Neodiprion lecontei: one gene and its partner. The protein of the gene in region 1 interacts with the protein of each later gene in a pairwise test. Links are inferred from orthologs where the notes say so. Each region holds a gene or a part of one and is shown in the gene's direction. Other genes may lie near its edges.

The links.
Region 2: the proteins of uncharacterized protein DDB_G0272682 (region 1) and DNA fragmentation factor subunit alpha interact in a two-hybrid assay, tested with the Drosophila melanogaster proteins (2 studies listed by BioGRID). The link is inferred for Neodiprion lecontei from reciprocal best matches to the Drosophila melanogaster genes Drep2 and Drep1.

What each region holds. Positions count from the first base shown.
Region 1 is NC_060261.1:2,386,621-2,394,420, reverse strand, and holds uncharacterized protein DDB_G0272682, read left to right. Parts: upstream 1-1,777; 5' UTR 1,778-2,278; coding exon 2,279-2,296; intron 2,297-3,543; coding exon 3,544-3,640; intron 3,641-4,003; coding exon 4,004-4,177; intron 4,178-5,889; coding exon 5,890-7,304; 3' UTR 7,305-7,498; downstream 7,499-7,800. Other genes in the region: GTP-binding protein 128up, read right to left, coding at 1-96, 159-324, 423-464.
Region 2 is NC_060264.1:25,801,450-25,809,459, forward strand, and holds the start of DNA fragmentation factor subunit alpha, read left to right. Parts: upstream 1-2,093; 5' UTR 2,094-2,112; intron 2,113-2,407; coding exon of another isoform or gene 2,408-2,463; exon of another isoform or gene 2,464-2,495; coding exon of another isoform or gene 2,496-2,497; exon of another isoform or gene 2,498-2,555; intron 2,556-2,694; exon of another isoform or gene 2,695-2,713; intron 2,714-2,825; exon of another isoform or gene 2,826-3,265; coding exon of another isoform or gene 3,266-3,664; intron 3,665-4,138; coding exon of another isoform or gene 4,139-4,243; intron 4,244-4,313; coding exon of another isoform or gene 4,314-4,435; intron 4,436-4,506; coding exon of another isoform or gene 4,507-4,681; intron 4,682-4,775; coding exon of another isoform or gene 4,776-4,859; intron 4,860-5,000; coding exon of another isoform or gene 5,001-5,213; exon of another isoform or gene 5,214-6,282; intron 6,283-6,587; 5' UTR 6,588-6,588; coding exon 6,589-6,766; intron 6,767-6,842; coding exon 6,843-7,155; intron 7,156-7,244; coding exon 7,245-7,365; 3' UTR 7,366-8,010. Other genes in the region: glutathione S-transferase C-terminal domain-containing protein homolog, read right to left, coding at 1-1,459; protein JTB, read right to left, coding at 1,593-1,755, 1,854-2,093, 2,408-2,463; D-beta-hydroxybutyrate dehydrogenase, mitochondrial, read right to left, coding at 3,266-3,664, 4,139-4,243, 4,314-4,435, 4,507-4,681, 4,776-4,859, 5,001-5,213.

The sequences.
Region 1 (7,800 bases):
GGACGGTAGTGAGGGTAGTGAATTCATATGCAGCTACCTCGGAATAAACACCGGCAAGAGTGCTGAGCAAGGTTGATTTGCCAACGGATGGAAATCCTGTTGTAACGCAAGACGGGATGTTATCGAATGCAGTTAATCAGAGTGCTTTCAATATTTACCGACAAACCCAATTCTAGCGTCACCGGTTTTGGCTACTTCGAAACCCTGTTCTCCGCCTCCACCGCCTCCCTTGGGGGTGATCAGTTCTCTTCTAAGTTTGGCTAGCTTTGCCTTAAGAAGACCCAAGTGGCCGGACGTCGCCTTGTTTTTTTGGGTCCGAGCCATCTGAGAATCGAGGTTTCATGTTATTAGAGGATGTCGAGTGATTTGAATGGGTATGCGGACACCGAAGCTGTTCAAAAATTAACGCATTTATAGGTTACCTCAGCCTCGATCGAGGCGATCTTTTCCAATATAGTGCTCATCTTGTATTGGTTTTAAGGGTAGTTTCCTGGCTTCAATTGTACTCTCAAGGCACTCTGCAACCTCTTCCGAAATACATTACGCGGCGAACGTTGCCACCGTTCTTTATTCAACACGTGTACTGGTACATGCCTTTAACCGCGAACGGAACGAGATAGACGTTGCTGCAAAAAGGTTAACAGATGAAAAAAAAATAGAAATATTCAACTTCTGATCATAGACTAAGAATTACTTGGATTTACTCAAGTCCGTCATCCTCATTGTAGATTGTAGCCATCGGGCTTGTACACCATAGACTTACAAGATAATACAGACAGACTATGCCATCTGTGCAGCTAGCTGAAGCCGTAATTAGAAAGAGAGAGCAACAGCTGAAGATGGTCCTCTCCTCCAACCATGGGTCTGACGATTGCAGAAGTGGCTAACTATGTGGAAACACCACAGATAGCGCTTCAGTTTTCCAAGTTGGGCGCCATTTTGCATTTAAATGGCGCGGCGCGCGTCGCTGGCGAAGTCTTACGAGGGCGTTCGAATCGTGGTTCGAACTTTCCCGTGGGTTGACCGGCGAGTGGGCGAGTATAGGCGTTGAAAAATCGGAATACGAGAGAGCGCGCGACTGGGCGTGCGGCAGGCAGGGGTGGGCGCGAGTGGGAGCGAGCGGGCGAGTTTAATGCGTAAGACGAGAAGGATACTCGGTAAGGGTAGACGTAGGCTGTTTAAGGGTAGGCAGGTATTCAGGGAGGCGAGTGCGAGTCGAATAATATAAGCGAATACGAGTAGGAAAGAAGAAGAAGAGGAAACCTTCGCCGGGCGCGAGGCAAGTGAGTGGGAGGAATATAGCGAGGGCGAAGAGGGCAAGGTGGGTGCAGAGGGCGAGGGTGAGGGTGTCCGTACGTACACGGAGAGAGAATCGATCTAAAACTAGGAGTCGCCGCAGTAACCGCTGGGAGGAAGCCACTGTTACAATTTGGCCCATATGCGTTAGTGAAATCTTAGATCGGGTAATTGTAAGATACCTAGTAGGATGAGGGATTTCCTGGTAGATGTAGTTTCCAAGGGACCCGTTTGTTAGGGTCCGTTGTTTAGACCGCCTCTACCCGGCATCTCCGAGAACCGCGCGATCAGAATGCTGCAGCGTTCGGTCCGCTACTTCTTTTAAATAAGTGCTTGTGGGACGGTCCCGTACCTGCAGGGATATGACGTAATGGCAAGAGAGGTATGGCAAAATCTTTTTTATTCATATATCTCAAGATTGTGCACACGAGTCTTCCCCTGTACCATCCCTGCATGCGCGCCCCTTCCATTCGTTCGTTGGGTGCACTATACATCAATTTTATCATCCTCCCGTGACATTACTGATTTTCAATAACATTCGCAACTCCCTTATTTGTAATATCGTTTTTATTCTCCCAGGGATTCAAACCCCGTCCCCTTGTCACCCTTGTCGTGGAACGCTGATACGTGTTTGCAGTGGCGAGATTATTTTCCTCCCTACACACCCGTGACCTACTTCCCTGGGAGTTGACCCCGTGCAGTCGTTCAACGTACGCGGTCCTCTTCATTCTTACTTTGATCTCTCGCGGAGACCTCGTTATCATTTTACTTCGAGTGTACATACTTTTTGAATTTTTAATTATCGCATCCATAGCTCACGTCTCGTATAATCGTTTATCGTGTCGTACCGTACCGTTATTTGATCCCTTAATAACAATTTATCACCATCGAACAGAAGTAATCCATTTATATCCACAACGATTTAAGCGTTATTGTAACGTTAGATTCCGATATCGATCGATAGTTATTTTAATCTATATTAATGCGAATGCCAGCAGAGGTGAGCCGAGAAAATCTACAATTATACTTATAGCTCTTACATTTCATTCATTATTTTTCGAGTGATGATATATTCGAAAAAACGCCCGTTTGTCTTCCGTCTGAATTCTTCGTTACTGTGAACAATTATTCAATGAATTTTCTGCCGTGCAGAGAAGCTTTCTATATATATATTTTTATATGTAACAGAGTGTTTAAGATTAAATGGGTGGTTTATTGATAAAATATTTATACCATAAGTATTCGGTGTCATCAAGTATAAGTATATCGTTAGACGAGCATTGCAGTTTGATAATTTGTCATATTATGTATATTTTCATGAGTATGGTTGAATGAGGTCAGTGTTTTCGACCATAAGTCGCGCGTGCGCTTTTACCGCTTAGCGCCACCCTGTTGAAAACGTTAAAAAGTAACCCAAACATAATTCGCAAACCTTTTCAACCCAGCTCCTCAATATTTATTCAAACTTCTTTTCCATTTACCTTAAGTATTTTTTTTTTAATTGCTCCCGGCAAGCAGAAAGAACGCGTCAGAAATTTCACGTATACTTATAACGATTGCATTTATTCATTTGGGTATTAATATATGTAATTTTTCACGGGATTGTCTCGAGGATTGAGCCTAAAAAAGGGAAAAAAAATAATTGCACATAGGTATATGTATATATTCAAGATACTTCAGCCCATTGCTATGCAAATTTTGCCCGGTACCCTAAATTGATGCGAAGGGAGGGGGATAACTAACGTTTCAAATCGTATTTTATACCACCTGCAGACCCCTCTTCAACTTTTCTCTTAAAAGCATTTTGTCTAATTACTGGATATCTGTCACGCCCAGTTGAAAAGACATGGTTATAGACCACCGCTCGTTTTATACAAATTGCATCCAATCCGCTGCACTCTGTTATCATTATTCATATTTATTCATACCAGTGGTGAAATAATCAATTCTTAAGAATAGTGAACGTGCAGTGTCGTTACATTGAATTGAGAATTAATCGAGATCGATTACGTATATTATCACTGATTCATTAGTGGCCAGTCTCATTAACCTTCGCTGCAGAGTCAAATTATTTATCAAATAAATGTTGGTGTCATCCGAGAAGATCCGCAGATGCGAATCTTTGATCGGTGAATTTTTCCAGCCAACGATTCGTTCGATGCCCTATGCAGTATATTGTATTCCAACGTTATACTGCCTCCGCAAATGTGCGCTGCTATATATAATTGCTTGTCTATTGTGCCGCAGGAGTTACGGAGCAAAAGACCTTTTAAGATATGGGACAGTTGGCGAAACGTAAGAAAGGGACTGGTCGTTAGCAATTTTGAAGAACTGTTACACCGCGGTGAGTAAATACAAAGTTACTTCGTCGATAGTGAACCGTATAAACACACCCCCTCATTCGGGGTCAATCGTAAACCAAAAGTAAGCACAGTAAATGAAAAATTCTTCACTTGTACAAGTGTCTCATCCCAGTGATGGTTCACAGTGATGGATACAGTGTTTAATAAAGTCTGTAATTTTTGCTTTCCACCCCGCTATAAGTGTGTCGAATGAACGAATGACGACGATGATGCCGATGTGATAACAAGGAATCCGATCTTGCATGTAACACAATTTATATAAGGCGTTGAAAAACTATCAGTAGGTTCTGAAAGATCATTGATTGGGGCAATGTGATGACGGTGTTGTTATATTTTAATTTCAGGTAAAGAAAAATTGGGCGTTCCCCAAAATGAGAAGGTCTCTTTAGTGCTCGAATCGGATGGTACGCAGGTCGAGGACGGGGAATATTTCAAGACTTTAGCGAACAACACGATACTGCTACTCCTGCGACATGGTGAAAGGTGGTGTCCCACTGGCGTTGACATCATTCGGGCTGGTACGACACGTTTCCTTGGCTCACTCCAGCTCTGCCTTATACTTGTCACTCCTCTTGCATGAAGTTCCGATCGCTGACCATCTCCTCACTCATCGTTTTCGATCCCTGTTCTATTCTCCTTCTTCTTCTTCTCTTTCTTCTTCTCTTTTACCTTTATTCTTCAACCGATCATCGCACAACCTGCATCGTATAGAAATCGCAAGGCGTTAAACGGAATTATGGAAAATGGTGTGCAGGTGAATCATGTTAACGAACGAACAACCGAAGATCGTATTACACGATTACCTCTATTGGAATTCAATTTTTGTTTATAAGGAACAATTTGCGAAGGAGGTCAATCGTCAGATTCCAATTCTTCCAACGCTCTGCACGTTGTATATGTGTACAGGGTGTCCCAGAACTGAGTACATAAAATTATAGGGGTAACAGAGGGGTCGAATTAACTGAGTAAATTAAACCGAAGAACATGTGCTTTCCGAAGTCGCGTTTGCGAAATGTGACCGGTTAACCCTAATAGGTTACTTGGGGTGAATTTCACCCCAAACATATTTCAAACTTCTCGTAGAGTCCCTTAGACGTGAAAACAGACCTCGTGGCACCGTTTTTCATGCCTTTTGTTTCTAAAAATTTTTGACACTTTTTTTAACTGTGCCAATGTTTTACAATATTTAAACAATTAATATTGAATAGAAAAAGTGAGAGAGTTTTTTCTGCGATCCGACGTACACGGCAGGACACGATTAATTACTTTGTGTAATTAATTACGTCGAAATTACTAATTACATTGCGTTACATTAGTTATTCGTGATTGAGTAGAAAAAGAAAATACCGATTACAATTGTAATTTGTAATTAGAATAATTTGAAATATAAAATACGAGTGTGATTAGTATAGTTTTTCCTTCCGATTACAAATTATGAATGTAATTGGTATCAGTTTTTCTTCGTATTACAAATTACGTCTATAGTTATTGTTGGTATCGGATTTTCTTCTAATTACAAATCTAATTGGTATTGTCTTTTTTTTTCACAATTACAAGTTACCAATTTAATTGATAATTTCTATGTAATTAATTACACAGAGTAATTAGTGGTGCTCAACATTTATTGTTATCAGGATTTTTTAACCGGTCGTATCTCACCCCCTCTATTACCCCTGTAATTTTGTGTGTTCTTTTCCTCTTGCACTAACTTCTCTCGTTTACTCATCGCATCAATATTGTTTCCTCTCTTTCGTTGTTTTTGCCTACGTCTCTTCTTCTACAACCATTGCTACGATCATTGATATCACTTCCTCCTCGAAATTGTGGGCAGGGTGGTCGGGTGCAGCCTGAATTGCCACGTAATGGGCTCGCATATAACCATTACGGGGTGCGACTACCGCAGTATTGTGAACATTAGTTGCGTCTGACCAGCAAGCGGATTAAAGGGATTGGCAGTAGTAGTTCAGACGGTACGATCCGGCTCTCTGGAAGTTGAACCGATCCGTAGTTTTTTTTAACCCCCTTTTCAACATTTAAATGCGATAAAGTTACGCGCTTTGTGTTTCTTGTTTGTCGAAAATGATAGAAAAAAAACAATAAAAATAAAAAAAAAAAAATAAATAAACAAAAATTGATATTATTACAACGAAATGATATATAACAGTGCGATTCGTTGTGTGATAAGGTTGAGGCGTATTGTAAAAAACGTTGAACGTTGTGTTTGTTGCAGCGATTTCGGCGATACCGAAAATAGTCTGCGAAACGATCCACGCGTTGGAGTTGCACGATGAGACGCCATCCTGGAAAATTATGGACAATAAAGGACGTGTCACAGTGGTGCTCCACTGGGATCAGCGGTCATCGTCGCAGGTTCAACAGCAGCAGCAACAGCAGCAGGGGGGAAAGTCACAGGACGGTCAGAGCTCGAAATATTCTCCAACGAAGAAGAGCGAACTGATTTCGGGTGGTCAGAGACCGTCGTTAGTGATACAGACGAGCTTGGACAAGCTGCAGAATTATCACGACGGGATCGGGATCGGTATAGGTAACGGAAAAGCTGGAGGTCACGGAGCGGGCGACTTAGGAGGAGGCGTTGGTGGTGGTGGTGGTGGTGGTGGTGGTGGTAGTGGTGGTAGTGCCGGTGTTGGTAGTGGTGGTGGTCCTCGTTACAGCAGCCCTCAAATAACTGTGATAAATCATGACGATATGGTACAGAAGAGTTTTACTAGTCCGAGTCATAGTTCCTACGGTCCGATGCTGGCCTCCAGCTTATTACCGGGATCGTCAAGCAGCGGGCCTTCTACATCTGGTAGCCGTCTCGTTAAGCAGGGTACCAACTCGTTCGACAGTACCACAATCCATATCCACACACCAGAGTGTTCGAATCACATCCATCAGCCTGTAGCGAGGAACGGTAGTCCCGTGAACGGTGCCGACGGAGGAAGCGCGGCCGAGTGCGATTTTCACTGCTGCGCACTCCACGAGGAGGGTCGTCGTATAGCGGTTCACAAATCCGTTGCGACATCGCCTATCCAGGACGCCCAACATCAGACGCCGTCGCCGCAGCCGCAGTCCTCGCTTTCGGACGGCACGAGGCGTTCCGGGGTGATAAAAGGGCACGTCAGGTTCCGGGACGACGAGAGCGAGGCGGGACCCAGTCACCAGTACCGTGCCGGAAGTTCGTCGGGTCAGTTCCACGGGCACGGAGGTTCCCATACCCATCACCATCACAATCATCTGCACCAGGATCACGACAGCTCCGAGTCTGAAACGGAGAATACGATAATGGAGGACGAGGTAGTGACTTCGGAAAAATTTTTACTTCTCATCGATCAGCTCACGGTAGATCAGAAGCACCATCTTAGCATCAAGGATATCGGTATTATACTAGAAAGGCTAAGCTCGAAGATACTGGACGTCGAGAGATTGGACAGGGAGAGCGAGAACGATGGATGTTACAACTGGACTATTAAGGCCGTTATTAGGGGCGACGTGCTCAGGGAACTAGGTGTTATTTACAACGGGAATTACTACGCCATCTCGGAACACCCCGGGTACAGGGAGGAGCTCGAGGAGAATAACGAGGATAACGACGACGACGACGACGACGACGATGAGGAGGAGGAGGAGGAAGATAGACTTTAATATGACGCTGTTTTAATAGTTAGATAGATTATACCTATACCTATTATTAATGGTTATTATTAACTATTATTAACATAGTATGTACTAAACACATAAAAACGTGATTTTTTTCAAATGTTTTCATAATAAAAAAAAAGAAATAAAAAAATAACGCATCATGATAAGAGGGGGGGAAAAAAAAATAAATAAATAAATAATAAATAAATAACGACGAAAGAAAACGGGGGGGAGGTGAAAAAAAATGATAGAAAAAAAAGGAAAAAAAACAAAAAAAAAAAAACTTGACGAGAAAGAGAAAAAGAGACGAAATAAAATAATTGAAACGAAATGAAAAGAAAAGAGGAAAAGATATGGAAGAAAAATAAATAAAAATAATACGATATAAACACTTTAGCTCTATAAAGACGGTTGTTGAAAATATGTACTTATTAAATAGTCTGTATACATTATGTAGGAATCATTGGGATACGGATTCATCTCCGTAACCGTCCACAAC
Region 2 (8,010 bases), on another chromosome or scaffold:
GATGGCAATCGTGTACGCTGCCGTAACAGCAGGGACAGCAGACAAAGATCGCATTCCTGCTTACGCAGTGTTCGATAACCAGGTCCGTCGCCACTCCGCAGGCATGGAGAGATACACCAATGTCAAAGTGTCCCTTGTAATAGTCCAGATTACATTGATAAAATCTAACATTTGTTAACTGAAGTTTCTCCACCCTTTTCTTGGCTCTGTTTAAACTCTCCTCTTTATTTTCTAGCAAAACTACTTCGCAGTTGGGCATCAAGTAGGCTATCAATATCCCCAGATGTCCTCCGCCAGAGCAGAAGTCGACGACTACATCCCCTATTTTTGCCAATGCCATTACAGGCCTGCACAAATTTTCTAACTGCTCAAACTTACGCTTCAGTCTCGTTTCGGGCAATGCACCTCCCTCTGGCGTTGCTTCAAACGGGATTTCATCCCAGTTCAATGTCATTTCCGATCCAAACGGTTCCGATGCAAGCTCGATGCTGATGCCTAGCTCACTGATTAATGCAAATGAATCATCTATGTCAACTTGCTTTGTGTAAATGCGATTACGAGGCTTGTATCGCTTTGGATCGCTCTTATACAGGCTATGGTTTTCAACGTCGGGAAGAACATAGCTGGTAACCCGGTTCTCAAAGCTCGGAGATTCCAAGTGTCTTAAACATCTCAAACTTTCAGATATCATTTCACTCGAAAGCATCCTCGTGTACCACTTTGCTGTCAGTGGTATGAGTTCTAACAATTCACATCTCAATGCGTGGAGTGTAAAAAATGTGTGGATGCAGACAAATATTATGATATCCGCCAATGTGATTTGAGATCCCTCCGCATAAATGTGTTCTGGTATTTTATCCCTGTTACCCGTCATAGTGCCATTGATGGAAAATTTTTTCGACATTGTATACTTGTACAAATTGTGCAATCTCACTGGCTGCGACATATGACATTCAAATCTTGCGATGCTTTCAGGAATCTCATTCGTATCGCTACTTGAAGTTTGACCATGGATAGATTTCAGGGTCGAGATTAAATCCACCTCGCAAAACTTTGTCCAGATACTCGACTCCGAGCAGGCCAGCAAACATGCATCCTTAAATCCTAGTAAGGCTTTGCTGTAGTGCAATGGCGTTTCAAAACACCTACTTTTTACTATTTGACGTAGGGTCGCGCAGAGCCCAGCCACACATGTCGTCTCGTTAACTATTACGTTTGGAAGGTCGCACGTACTCGCATATCGTGGTAATTTGTCTACTTCCATAACTGTGTAAGTAAACCCGGACAGATCAATAAAATTAGACCGTTCCTCATTGCGTGTTTTTTTTGTTACAACCAAGTTAATCGATACGCGAGAATCACAGTATTTTATCGTGAACAATGTTATTATGGTCTCTATCGGGGCGAGGCACAAATCTGCAATGGAATGAACCTCCAGGAAAAGCTGGTTGGTTTCCATAGTCCTTTTTTTTTATATCGTGTACGATAGTGTCACAACTCTTGAAAGTCTGAATGCTACAGAAATGCAGTTCAAATTATACTATGTGAATTTTATATTTTTTTCAGAACCTGAGCTGGTCGGTACCGCCAATCTACACACTAGCTCTGAGTTGTCTAGCCACTTTTCTGACTATTCTTTGCCGCAAGATGTTCTCCCTCCAGTAGACGCTGATGCAAGATAAGACAGCGAGACCAAACATAAGGCCTTCAAATCTCCAGAAACTGCGCTCCTCCAGCCAAGCAACTTTATCACAACTGAAAAGAGTACAAAATGTAAAAAGATAAATGAACCAGTTCAAGTAAAATGTGGAGTTATCACAAATCATGAAAACAATCATAATAACAATCCTTACCTTCTGGTTACAGTTATACCACTCTTGCGACATTTCAACACTTCCTTGTTGCTTGTATGAATGCAGACGCCGATGCTTTCGCTCGCTATTTCGAAAGCTGTACACGGATGACACTCTAATATCACATCAAATTCTTCATTGAGATAACAGCTCGAATTCTTTTCGACAGACTCTACAAATGCCTTGCTGCTGTCCGTGTCTGTCCAATTGCTTTCAATAATCAAGACGAGTATCGTCAACCTGGAAGAAATGTTTTTTTGTAAGTACAACACATCTCTTGCAAAAGTTACAGTATGGTTATATACATGTATATATAAGCAAAAAATGGGGATCACGCTACATAGCTTTGCGCAAAAATGATGACACATTTTTATTGGTCAACAATGCGAACGATAACAATTTTGAAAATATCGTTAATCAGGGTACTGATACTGAACTAATATTAAAAGAGAAAATCCACTCTTAGGTTATTATCGCTAGTGGTTTACAGCAACTGAAAACGTGGGTATGAATTTTCAAGCTGATAAGTGTTATTGATAGAAATGAGAACAGACCCTCCTAAAAAAGTGACGGCTATGAGCATCCGCTTTTTTGTACACGACTCGATCATTGTAATATAAATTCAAAAACTGATGGATTTACATTGAAATGCGTACGTCGATCGACGAGGTGAGGTTATGACTCACGTTAACTCACCCTCCGAATTCGACGAATAATGGATAAGACAGAACCCTTCGTTACCCGCAATGCAGTGTGCCTTGATTGCATCACAGTTCGTCAGTATCCTTAAAGAATGCCGAAAATTGCAGTATTCTGCAATACCAATTTTATTCAACATTGGGATCCCACAAGACGAGTCGGTAAGTGGCAGAGTCGTAGAATTTACCCCCAAACCCGCTCAGATCCGGTAAATCATTTCGAAAAATAACGCTGAGCTACCAGTCTTCATACATCTTCATTCAGCGACGGGGATCATCTACGCTGTTTTAAAAATAACGCCATCTGCGGAGAGGCCGAGAATCTCTTTGACCGAGAACTGATCTTGAAACGAACCTGTCATTCCTGTCATTCTAGCCAAGAGCGCAAAAACTGAGCACAACGTCCTCACCAAAAAAACTGAGTGTAGACTGCGGGTGGAGGAGATACGATATTTATTGCGCAGACGGTTTTTTCGAGCGTGGGAGGGGGACAATAAATCGTATGCCTTGATGGTACGCCCATTTATTTATAAAGCCTTGAAATGTGTTCGAACGATCAACTATGAAAATACATCAAGTCAATATATATACAGTAATCATTTCAAGGGATTTCATTGACTGCCAGAATATCATAAATTTCTTTTTCTCTTCGATTAAATAGGAGAAATGAGCAACAAACTAAAGGAACAGATCTGCAATTGATTTACGAACCATTCAATCCGTGTATAGTATGTCGTATATAGGTTTTGGCAGGTGATCACTTAGTAGCGCTCTTATTCTCTCTCCACGAGACACAGGCATGTATCGCCTCAATGGGAACGTTCTCACTGTAGCGTCGGTCAAAGCTCTGGTAGTTTGAGTCAGATCCGCCTCCGGACCAAGCGTGTATCTCTCTAAGGCAATCATCTCCTTTTGGAATAATTCTTGACCATACTCACGCCGTGTTTGGGGGTCGAGCTGTGTCCACATATCTCTTGCCTGCTCCAGCAGAGAGGCATTGTCTTTCAGCCAGGCACTGCCCGACACATATTCCCCGGTCTCAACTATAACAACATCCACACCCCATCTCCGCATTTCCAAACGTAAGCAATTTCCCCATGCCTCTACCGCTGCCTGTAAGTTTTTTGCATATTTTAGGGACCTACGTGCAGTAGTACAGTTTTTTTTTCGGAGAAAATATACGGTCTATAAACAAAATCAGTTGATTTTCAGTTCCCCACGATATACTCTTGCGCAGATTACATAAAATATTTGGGAAAAATTCAAGTATTGTGCTTCAATCATATTGTCATAAAATATGTACTAAAACTATTCTCAATGAATAACGTACATGAAATAAAAAAAAGCATAGCAAGGGGTTGAGCTGCTTTAGAGACCTCGGAACACATACAGAAACTAGCGCCTTTACAGATTCACAAACCAAAATAAAAAATACTATGAATTTCCATTAGTCAGATAGCGTACAGTTTTATCCTGATTTCAAATTTGCGCTTCCTTATCAAAGTAGCCGGTGTTCAGAGTAATAATTTTAAAAACCTATTGCAATTCATTATGCACAACCGAGTTTGTCACCTCCGGTCTTCTTACCTTTACTGCACAATGTATCCCTCGCACTGGGCTTGGGATTCTTGCGAAAAGGCTTCCTACAAGTATAACGCGTCCCTTAGAGCGTCTCACTAGTGGAAGGAATACCTATTGCACGATAAAAATAATAATATGCAAGTGTCATAGTTTAGCAAACTTGTTGTACAAATGTTTTTACCTGCGTCAGTCTCGATACTCCAATGAAGTTAACTTCCACGCTACGCTTTAGCACCGAAGATGGAATCCACTCACATTCTCCTAGCGCCACCCAGGCGTCAGCATGTACCAAACCCCACAAACCTATAATTAAATTGGAATGCTTGATTTGACTTTTTCAGACTAAGTAACGTAACTCTGGCTGGTCTATTTACCTGGAGCTCCGTCGGGCAAGTGCTCATTGACGTAGAGGAAAGTTGAATGGATATCACGCTCGCTTGTTACATCCAGTTGCAGAACACGCAGTCTTCCTGAGCATTGATCTTTTAGTTTGCACGCTATCTCATTGTTCTCGTTCTTGTTTGAAAAAGTCGCAAAAACTGTGAACCCCTTGAAAGATATTTAACAATGGACATATTATTATCGAGTTATCATTGTAATGATTGTGCATATCGATATTTTGTAGGTTTTTATTTTTATATACCAAGTCGTCCAGCTGCTTCGCCAAAGCATTTCCTACCCTGGAGTCACATCCTGTTATCAATATTGCCTTTCCAGCCGCAGTTACCTATGATAATAATTTTCTTCATCACTGTATTTAGTAATACGTAGCGATGTCGCTATTATGGCCTCAATCGTTAAACTTGCGGATATTTCACTTTGAATAATTGACTTTATTTCTCTTTGTTAGGCAAGTGTGATAGTTTACCTTTAGATTGTGATAGAATAAAGTAGAGCCGAGAGATACGCTGAGAAATAGAAGAAACAGTACAAAACTAGATATCTGCGAAATACCGAAAGTGTTGAGAATCGTGGCAACGATAACTGCAACCGCGTGTGAGAATACGAATGGCAAAAGACATCGTTCTAACAACTCCCACGCCTGGCTGTCCTCGGGTGGTTTATTCAAAGTTTGTGGCATCACACCCTTATTTAATTTCAATATGGATACTTAATAATTGAACTAGTTTACTAAACGCTAGCCAGAGCTCACCTAGATGCCTGAACTGGACTAAGCCCAGGCTAACTTTAAACTTGATACGCTGTCTAGTCTCATTCGGCTAAATTTATCCCCTGCAGCGATGTAGGTACCCAAGGCCCGAGTATGCCTCAGCATGTTTTTTATATTCCTCAAAATACATGTAGATATAGGTGAATCATTTAATTCTATTAAAATTGGACTCTGCTCCAATAGTAAATGCATTGACGTAGAAATCCCATCAACTAATCAAACTTCATATTTGCTATTCACAAAAACTTATGATTATCCTCAATCTTGAAGCCAAAGTGTCCCACCTATGAAGTTCAAAATTGAAAAAATGTATAATACATCTGAAACGAAAGTGGAGAGCAAAACAGCGTTTAAAAAAGAAAAGAAAAAAGGAGATCCTCCACCATGCACTTGCAGATCTGAGGTCACTATTATTGATTTCAGTCTGGGTGCCATGTTGGTAAAGGGAGGAGTTGCCTGTCTGGTTATTCTATGTATATACAGAGAGTACTGAGTGTATAAATAGGAAGGGTGGTTACACCATTGACCCAGTGTTCAGTTGGTGCAAAGTCGGTTCAGTGGCCAACAAATGATACTTTCTTTTTTACTCTACGTCTGTACAGTAGTGATATAATCATATTGAATTGCCACACCACTGACAACCACCATAGCCAGCGAACAGCTTAAGAGATTGCATTCGGATTCCACCCTCTTTTGCCTACATTCAGTATTCATACAGTGCTCACCAAATTGCGTATTGTCATCCTATTAAAATACCCTGTTAAACAGAAGTTTGCTCAAAATTAATTGAGAAAGTTTCATTGCCTAATAGTGTCATATTATCCTTACATATATTTACAGTTTATCACTGTGATTTCACCCAAGTGATTATCGAGTAAAAAGTTGAACGTGAAAGACCCATAATTCGACTGTGTTCTAAACAATCACTTTGGTAATTTTAATATTGATATCATATCTCTGGTGATATAAATAAAACAAGGTAAGGAAAACCATTATAAGACCCAATCTATCTATCAACATTAAACACTTTGTGAAAAAACGATTGAGAGCCACTTTGAATAAGGATATATTGAAAGGATATGTTCCAAACACGTTTTTCAATGATATAATTTTATCCAAACAGCTTTCTAGATTCTTGAATTTTTCATTACAAATATATATCAAGAAATTATTATACTATACTTCCAATAAGACTAAGCAATGAAAGAAACTCTGTGTGAATTCTTATGGCTTATCAGAACATTTTATTTTCATGACATTTATACAACGCCAATCTAATTTCAGGATGTCAGACACTGCAGGGGCAGTACAAGCAACAGCTTCCCCGTATAAGATAATTGATCATGCGAGAGAAAGACGCAAGGGCATTACAGCCTCGTCACTAAAAGAACTCACTGCCATAGCTAGAAACCGATTTGACTTGCCACAAGAAGAGCACCTGACCATTGTTTTGGAACAGGATGGTAAGTATTGTTATTTTAGATTGTAAATATCGATTATCTGGTGATTGACAACCTTAATGAAGTGTGAATTGCGCAGGTACCGAGGTAGACGACGAAGAATACTTTGCTACGCTTGAGAGAAATACAAGCTTGATGGTCCTGTGTGGCCATCAAAGATGGTCAGCTGCTGGAAGCTCAGCTAGTACATCACGCTATGTTCTGCTGGATGATACGGATAGTGGAAAAGAAGGAACATCAAGAAGGAGGGAACGTGGGAATGGGGCACAGATCAAGCCGCTGGTCTCCTCACTGCGTGGAGATCCAACCCACATTTCGCTATTAGGTGGAAACGACTTGGAACTGCTAAGTGATATGGATCCGGAAAGTCTAGCAGACATTGTGCCTGACAGGTGAGGGATGGGTGAAGTTTTTGGGAAGAGAGAACATGTTGGGTGATTATGTGGGCAGTCTGTTGAGTGTTTGAAAAAAATTTCTGCAGGATATTCCTGGAGCAACTGAAGGAGGCGTCAGGAAGATTTTTAGCCGAGAAACGACAGGCGCAGGAATCAATGGCACTATTGCAGATGTATGCAAGCGGAGGAGAGATGGAGCGGGCGTAGGCCATGTGGGGGGTCGGCACCCTCACACTGGCAAACATGTACCGCATTCGAAGACGTCTCATATACAAGGGACGTCACATTCAGCAAACGATGATTTTCATCTGGAATTGAGCCGAAGTTCCATGTCAAATTACCCAATGAATATGGGGCAGAAGGAAGGGAGTAAAGTTTCTGTGATTCATACGTGTATAGATATCTGCCGACTGAATGATGGGCAATTTTTATGTCCTACGTAATGATTAATGGATGATCACAGCTTATAATACACGCTCATAATATTTGGCATACCTTCTGCATTACAGGTATCGTACGTCTTTTATCGGAGAGAATAAATAATTGCAACTTTGCACACAATCGTGTAGGTAAACATACCCTACATAGAATTGCGTTAGGAATTAATCGGCTATAGTATACTGACCCTTTGCAAAATATCCAGTAAAGTATCATTCCACCGCTGCCGAGGCTAGAGCGTAAAAATAATTTCCTTGCAAGGTAGCCACATCGATATTGGCCCAAGGATTAGGATTATATATGATTTTTATAAATGTTTATTACACATTGTATTTCTATAAGAGATAGGTTTTAGTTGATACCAAGTTTTATGAAATGTTTAAGACTGAATTTCATTATATTGAGAGGTAAGTA